Saccharomyces cerevisiae S288C: one gene and its partner. The gene in region 1 interacts genetically with each later gene. Each region holds a gene or a part of one and is shown in the gene's direction. Other genes may lie near its edges.

The links.
Region 2: mutations in YHR054C (region 1) and MGA1 together harm fitness more than expected from each alone (negative genetic interaction), as found in Saccharomyces cerevisiae (one large-scale study listed by BioGRID).

What each region holds. Positions count from the first base shown.
Region 1 is NC_001140.6:212,508-216,251, reverse strand, and holds YHR054C (uncharacterized protein), read left to right. Parts: upstream 1-2,002; coding exon 2,003-3,067; downstream 3,068-3,744. Other genes in the region: RSC30 (Rsc30p), read left to right, coding at 1-1,069; metallothionein CUP1-2, read left to right, coding at 1,534-1,719; YHR054C-B (uncharacterized protein), read left to right, coding at 1,562-1,735; metallothionein CUP1-1, read left to right, coding at 3,532-3,717; YHR052C-B (uncharacterized protein), read left to right, coding at 3,560-3,733.
Region 2 is NC_001139.9:985,782-989,973, forward strand, and holds MGA1 (Mga1p), read left to right. Parts: upstream 1-2,267; coding exon 2,268-3,638; downstream 3,639-4,192. Other genes in the region: 6-phosphogluconolactonase SOL4, read left to right, coding at 191-958.

The sequences.
Region 1 (3,744 bases):
ATTCATGGTACCCGCTGCTGAAAACCTATCTCCGATACCTGCCTCTATTGATACGAACGACATTCCTTTAATTGCTAACGATTTAAAATTACTGGAAACGCAAGCAAAATTGATAAATATTCTGCAAGGTGTTCCTTTCTACTTGCCAGTAAATTTAACCAAAATTGAAAGTCTGTTAGAAACCTTGACTATGGGCGTGAGTAATACAGTAGACTTATATTTTCATGACAACGAAGTCAGAAAAGAATGGAAAGACACTTTAAATTTTATCAATACCATTGTTTATACAAATTTTTTCCTTTTTGTTCAAAACGAATCCTCTTTGTCCATGGCAGTTCAACATTCTTCTAACAACAATAAGACCTCGAACTCTGAAAGATGTGCAAAGGATCTGATGAAAATTATTTCTAATATGCACATTTTTTACTCAATAACATTTAATTTTATCTTCCCCATAAAGTCGATAAAGTCATTTTCAAGCGGCAATAATCGCTTTCATTCTAATGGTAAAGAATTTTTATTCGCAAATCATTTTATTGAAATCTTACAGAATTTTATAGCAATCACATTTGCTATTTTCCAACGTTGTGAAGTAATATTATATGACGAATTTTACAAAAATCTTTCAAATGAGGAGATTAATGTTCAATTGCTATTGATTCATGACAAGATTTTGGAAATTTTAAAAAAAATAGAAATTATCGTATCCTTTTTACGAGATGAAATGAATAGCAACGGAAGTTTCAAATCTATTAAAGGTTTCAACAAGGTTTTGAATCTGATTAAATATATGCTGAGATTTAGCAAGAAAAAACAAAATTTTGCGAGAAACTCTGATAACAATAATGTTACAGATTATAGTCAGTCGGCGAAGAACAAAAATGTTCTCTTGAAATTCCCCGTTAGTGAACTGAACAGAATCTATTTAAAATTTAAGGAGATTTCAGATTTTTTAATGGAAAGAGAAGTTGTCCAAAGGAGTATAATTATTGACAAGGATTTGGAATCTGATAATCTGGGTATTACTACGGCAAACTTCAACGATTTCTATGATGCATTTTATAATTAGTAAGCCGATCCCATTACCGACATTTGGGCGCTATACGTGCATATGTTCATGTATGTATCTGTATTTAAAACACTTTTGTATTATTTTTCCTCATATATGTGTATAGGTTTATACGGATGATTTAATTATTACTTCACCACCCTTTATTTCAGGCTGATATCTTAGCCTTGTTACTAGTTAGAAAAAGACATTTTTGCTGTCAGTCACTGTCAAGAGATTCTTTTGCTGGCATTTCTTCTAGAAGCAAAAAGAGCGATGCGTCTTTTCCGCTGAACCGTTCCAGCAAAAAAGACTACCAACGCAATATGGATTGTCAGAATCATATAAAAGAGAAGCAAATAACTCCTTGTCTTGTATCAATTGCATTATAATATCTTCTTGTTAGTGCAATATCATATAGAAGTCATCGAAATAGATATTAAGAAAAACAAACTGTACAATCAATCAATCAATCATCACATAAAATGTTCAGCGAATTAATTAACTTCCAAAATGAAGGTCATGAGTGCCAATGCCAATGTGGTAGCTGCAAAAATAATGAACAATGCCAAAAATCATGTAGCTGCCCAACGGGGTGTAACAGCGACGACAAATGCCCCTGCGGTAACAAGTCTGAAGAAACCAAGAAGTCATGCTGCTCTGGGAAATGAAACGAATAGTCTTTAATATATTCATCTAACTATTTGCTGTTTTTAATTTTTAAAAGGAGAAGGAAGTTTAATCGACGATTCTACTCAGTTTGAGTACACTTATGTATTTTGTTTAGATACTTTGTTAATTTATAGGTATACGTTAATAATTAAGAAAAGGAAATAAAGTATCTCCATATGTCGCCCCAAGAATAAAATATTATTACCAAATTCTAGTTTGCCTAACTTACAACTCTGTATAGAATCCCCAGATTTCGAATAAAAAAAAAAAAAAAAGCTATTCATGGTACCCGCTGCTGAAAACCTATCTCCGATACCTGCCTCTATTGATACGAACGACATTCCTTTAATTGCTAACGATTTAAAATTACTGGAAACGCAAGCAAAATTGATAAATATTCTGCAAGGTGTTCCTTTCTACTTGCCAGTAAATTTAACCAAAATTGAAAGTCTGTTAGAAACCTTGACTATGGGCGTGAGTAATACAGTAGACTTATATTTTCATGACAACGAAGTCAGAAAAGAATGGAAAGACACTTTAAATTTTATCAATACCATTGTTTATACAAATTTTTTCCTTTTTGTTCAAAACGAATCCTCTTTGTCCATGGCAGTTCAACATTCTTCTAACAACAATAAGACCTCGAACTCTGAAAGATGTGCAAAGGATCTGATGAAAATTATTTCTAATATGCACATTTTTTACTCAATAACATTTAATTTTATCTTCCCCATAAAGTCGATAAAGTCATTTTCAAGCGGCAATAATCGCTTTCATTCTAATGGTAAAGAATTTTTATTCGCAAATCATTTTATTGAAATCTTACAGAATTTTATAGCAATCACATTTGCTATTTTCCAACGTTGTGAAGTAATATTATATGACGAATTTTACAAAAATCTTTCAAATGAGGAGATTAATGTTCAATTGCTATTGATTCATGACAAGATTTTGGAAATTTTAAAAAAAATAGAAATTATCGTATCCTTTTTACGAGATGAAATGAATAGCAACGGAAGTTTCAAATCTATTAAAGGTTTCAACAAGGTTTTGAATCTGATTAAATATATGCTGAGATTTAGCAAGAAAAAACAAAATTTTGCGAGAAACTCTGATAACAATAATGTTACAGATTATAGTCAGTCGGCGAAGAACAAAAATGTTCTCTTGAAATTCCCCGTTAGTGAACTGAACAGAATCTATTTAAAATTTAAGGAGATTTCAGATTTTTTAATGGAAAGAGAAGTTGTCCAAAGGAGTATAATTATTGACAAGGATTTGGAATCTGATAATCTGGGTATTACTACGGCAAACTTCAACGATTTCTATGATGCATTTTATAATTAGTAAGCCGATCCCATTACCGACATTTGGGCGCTATACGTGCATATGTTCATGTATGTATCTGTATTTAAAACACTTTTGTATTATTTTTCCTCATATATGTGTATAGGTTTATACGGATGATTTAATTATTACTTCACCACCCTTTATTTCAGGCTGATATCTTAGCCTTGTTACTAGTTAGAAAAAGACATTTTTGCTGTCAGTCACTGTCAAGAGATTCTTTTGCTGGCATTTCTTCTAGAAGCAAAAAGAGCGATGCGTCTTTTCCGCTGAACCGTTCCAGCAAAAAAGACTACCAACGCAATATGGATTGTCAGAATCATATAAAAGAGAAGCAAATAACTCCTTGTCTTGTATCAATTGCATTATAATATCTTCTTGTTAGTGCAATATCATATAGAAGTCATCGAAATAGATATTAAGAAAAACAAACTGTACAATCAATCAATCAATCATCACATAAAATGTTCAGCGAATTAATTAACTTCCAAAATGAAGGTCATGAGTGCCAATGCCAATGTGGTAGCTGCAAAAATAATGAACAATGCCAAAAATCATGTAGCTGCCCAACGGGGTGTAACAGCGACGACAAATGCCCCTGCGGTAACAAGTCTGAAGAAACCAAGAAGTCATGCTGCTCTGGGAAATGAAACGAATAGTCTTTAATATATTCATCT
Region 2 (4,192 bases), on another chromosome or scaffold:
TTTACGTATACTGATCGCTTGCCTTCGCAAGGGATGGAAATCCCTTGAAAATTAAAAAAATCCCCCCCTAAGCAGCGAAAATTGTAAGATCCATAATATTTAAGAAATGACGAAGAACGTAGTCTTATCGCAGCAGTTTTCCAAACAAAGAATGCCATTCATCAAATAATCCACAACCACCTCAAGAAAAATGGTGAAATTACAAAGGTTTAGCGAAAAGAAAAGCCTCATACACGAATTCGGCAAGTTTATCCTTGAAAAGCAAGAATCGGCGTTAACGGGCGACGCTGATGCAGTGTTCAATATCGCCATCAGTGGAGGATCGATGAACCAAGCGCTGTACGAAAGTTTGGTAAATGACAAAAACATTTTTCCACATATTAAGTGGCCACAATGGAGAATCTTCTTCTGTGACGAAAGATTGGTTCCATTTGAGGATCCGCAAAGTAACTATGGTCAGTTCAAAAAAACAGTTTTGGACCCGCTAGTGCATCAGGGCAACCAATTGAACTTAGGCCCCACTGTATACACTATCAACGAATCATTAATCGGTGGCGGTGAAACGGCCAATAGAAAGATTGCCGAAGAATACGCTTCCATGCTGCCTGCATCATTCGACCTAATCTTACTCGGATGCGGAGAAGATGGACATACATGCTCGTTGTTTCCCGGGGTTGAATTTAATTACCTTGTAGAAGAGATGGACCGCAAGGTTTTATGGTGTAATAATTCGCCCAAGGCACCCAAGGACAGGATCACCTTTACATTAGCAGTAGTAGCCGAGGCTAAAAGTGTGTGCTTTCTCGTTAGGGGAGCTGCTAAAAAGGCTATCATGCATGACGTGTTAATCGTAAAAAATAGCGAACTACCTAGTGTGCTGGTTAATGAAATGGTCGGAACCAAAGTAACTTGGTTTCTCGACGACGAAGCTGGCGCCTTGATTCCTGAAAACTGCTAATTACACTCGTCTTTATACGAAACTGGCTCCGTTAATCACGACAGACAACCTTAATTACATTACATAATAATAAATAAATGACAACTGTCTTCTTTACAGCGTATGTTGGAGCTTACTCCCGAAGCATAAACCCAGTTCTTCTAGAAGAATTGACAGCAGAAAGGAAAGGGGTACCGAAGGCAAACTCAACCTTAAAAGTTCCGTAAGCAACCGAGCCTCCGCGAAGGTTGCATAACTTAAAAGAAAAACATAGCTCACCCGGTGATACCGTTACAACGCGTTAATCTTAATGCTATGACTCGGAACCACCTGCAAAACAGCGCTAACGGAAATTTCCATGGAAATAGAATAAGGGACGCAGCAGGGTTTTTTTTTTTGGCGAGCACACGAAATATAAAATTGCTTCGGGCCAGCTGCATGGAAGGGTTAATTTCGCCCCTTTATCGCAAGCTACGCAGTTCTCCTGGCTCGAGAATGAATCTGGCCCGCCGCAGACGTTTCCTGGCCCCAGATTAGGAAGCAGCGGCGGCGGAACGGAAGGTGCTCTAAGCAAAATAAGGAATATTAGCCACGCCGGTAATTCCCCTCCTTTGGTCTGCCCCTGGTCTGCCCCTTTCGTTTTTTATTTTTTTTTGGGTGAACGGAATACTCCGTGGGCGGCACAAGGAGAGCCTGCGTAGGAATCTGTGCGTCTCAGTCGGGCGGGCCGATTTAGCACCGATGGTTCGCTTTGGCTTGGGCTTACGGTGACTGCGAGATTTGCAGATTAGTGCATATCCGCGCCTTTGTATGACGTGAAGCGATCCGCCCTGAACAACTTGTTACGTATATGATGTTGACTCTGCGCCCCCGTCTCTCTGGTTGCTGCCTTCTGCGCTGATTTGGTGCAATCTTTCTTTTTTGTCTTTGAAAGATTTAAGCTTTTTTTCGAGAAGAAAAAGGAGGAACCGAAAAAATAATCTTTCAGTTGTTGACCCGTAGAGCAGAAAATGGAAGGCAGTAGATATCCATATCGAAGGAAAAGCACAAACTTATCACGTTTAGGGTATTCATTAACGTTGAAGTAATCAGGTAGTGAATAGCTCGAAGTTTTCCATGCTTTCCTTTCGGTTGCATCTTTCTTCCTTTGGGGTTTTATCTTGATACGTCGTTACTTACCTTTTTTTCCAATATATATATATTGGTAGTAGCTGATCATTGCAGAAGATCTAGATCTCCTTTACACGCTTTAAGGTTAGGCAGCTGTAACCCCTATATTGAATTTTCACCCACGCCATAAAATACAATAGCTCAGAGAACCGGTGGCCACATGCAACCTAAAACTTTCGTCCACCAACTTCATGCAATTCTTCTGGAACCGGAAGTAAATAAATGGATATACTGGTCTCCGACTGATAACACGGTATTTTTTTTGAAGCCATATGACCCTAATTTTAGTACACATGTTCTGAAGCGTTATTTCAAACATGGAAATGTCAATAGTTTTGTTCGTCAACTACACATGTACGGGTTTCATAAACTATCTCATCCTTCCCCAGACCAATCTTCTGCCAACAATGGTAACGTTAAAGAACTTGTTGAATGGAAATTTACCCACCCATCTGGATTCTTCTTCAAAGAGGCCAACGCCGGTATCTTGAATAAAATCCAAAGAAAGAGCACTGGTGTGGGAAAAGATGGTAAAAGAAAGAATATACTGTCACCAATATCTGTCAGTTACGTTGATGCTTCGAGGTTAAATGTTCTCTCTCAGCAATCCGGACCAGTTTCTGCAAGAGAACCATCAAACATGTTTATGGGCAGTCCCGTCCATTACTCAACATCCCAAAGTCCTCCACATATCAGTATACCGCAACAGCAACAAAGTAGTGGACCTTACCTAATATCTTCACTGCCCCCTCAACAACCCACGGTGAACATGATGCGAAGGCAAAGCATCTCGGCGAGGATGATGAATTCTTATGACTATCCCAATCAATTTTCCACCCAAGATAGCATAGTCCAGCCTCAGCAGCCGCAACAAGTACTTTCTCCACAAGCATTATCTGGACCTCCGATGAAGAAATCAGGAACACTATCTTCGACAGATGATCTGAAAACAACTTCCTTGCCAATTGTTAATTACCCAATGCCGTATCATCCTGGAGCTTTTGCCCAGCAGCAGCAGCAGCAGCAGCAACCGCTCCCTACAGTCCCGCCATATAGCAGTTACTCCACTCCATTTCCCTCAATGATGAACTCTCTTTCGAACTCTGCTTCTAACTCACCTGCTTTAGGAGTTTGTAATAATAATGTAACACTACCCAAAAAAAGCAATATAAGTGAAAGGCAAGCTTTGGATAACCATATACAAACTTTAAAGAACTCTCTATCAACAATCACTGATTTGATAGAAAAACATATTAACAGCGCATCGCAAGATGAAAATAAAACTCTAACTAATGATGCCATGAACAAAGACCTTCGAACAAGCTTATCCCTATTACAGAATTCCAAGGAGGAAATCATTCAACTTGAAAGTAAATGGATGTCTATGCAATCTGTTAAAACAACTGCCCTACCCCTTCAAGAGACTACGAATACATCATCGACCTTAACTTCTCTGACGTCCAGCATAATTCCCAAGAGTATACCTATAATCACGAAAGGTGAAGTCGCCACTAAACCAGCATCTTACTGAATTATTTTCAACAGAACACATCGCATCCAACTGAACAAACTGTTACCGCTGTTGATACCAAGGAACATTCAGTGAACGTAGGGAAGAACGAACATTCTCCATATTTTTGCATACTAGATACAAGGGGGAAGAATGCAATTATTTCACAAACCGAAAGAAAAAGAATCACAAGCTATGTTTGCTATTATCAATTTTTCTTATGATTAATTTAACATAAATTATGGCCTTTTTCATTCCGGCTGCGCTTGTTCTCCAATTTTTTTTTTTTTTTTGAGAAAACTTTAAAAATTTCAAATGTAAGAAAGTAGAGCAGATCTTTTAGCAAGGATCCGCTTAACATTCCAACAAAAAAGGAAAAATAAAACAATAATTTCGTTCCCCATCTATCCTTCGCCTCTCCTTCGCTCTGTAATTTTTTTTACTCGCGCGCTTCCGACTTTTGAAAGAAGGAGCAATAAAGTTAAATAAATGTAATTAAATTATGCTTTTTTAGGCAAGTTCGGGACTTTGTTGCCACGTATTGCTCTTCTATGCAAGCACTTCACTCCTTTTCT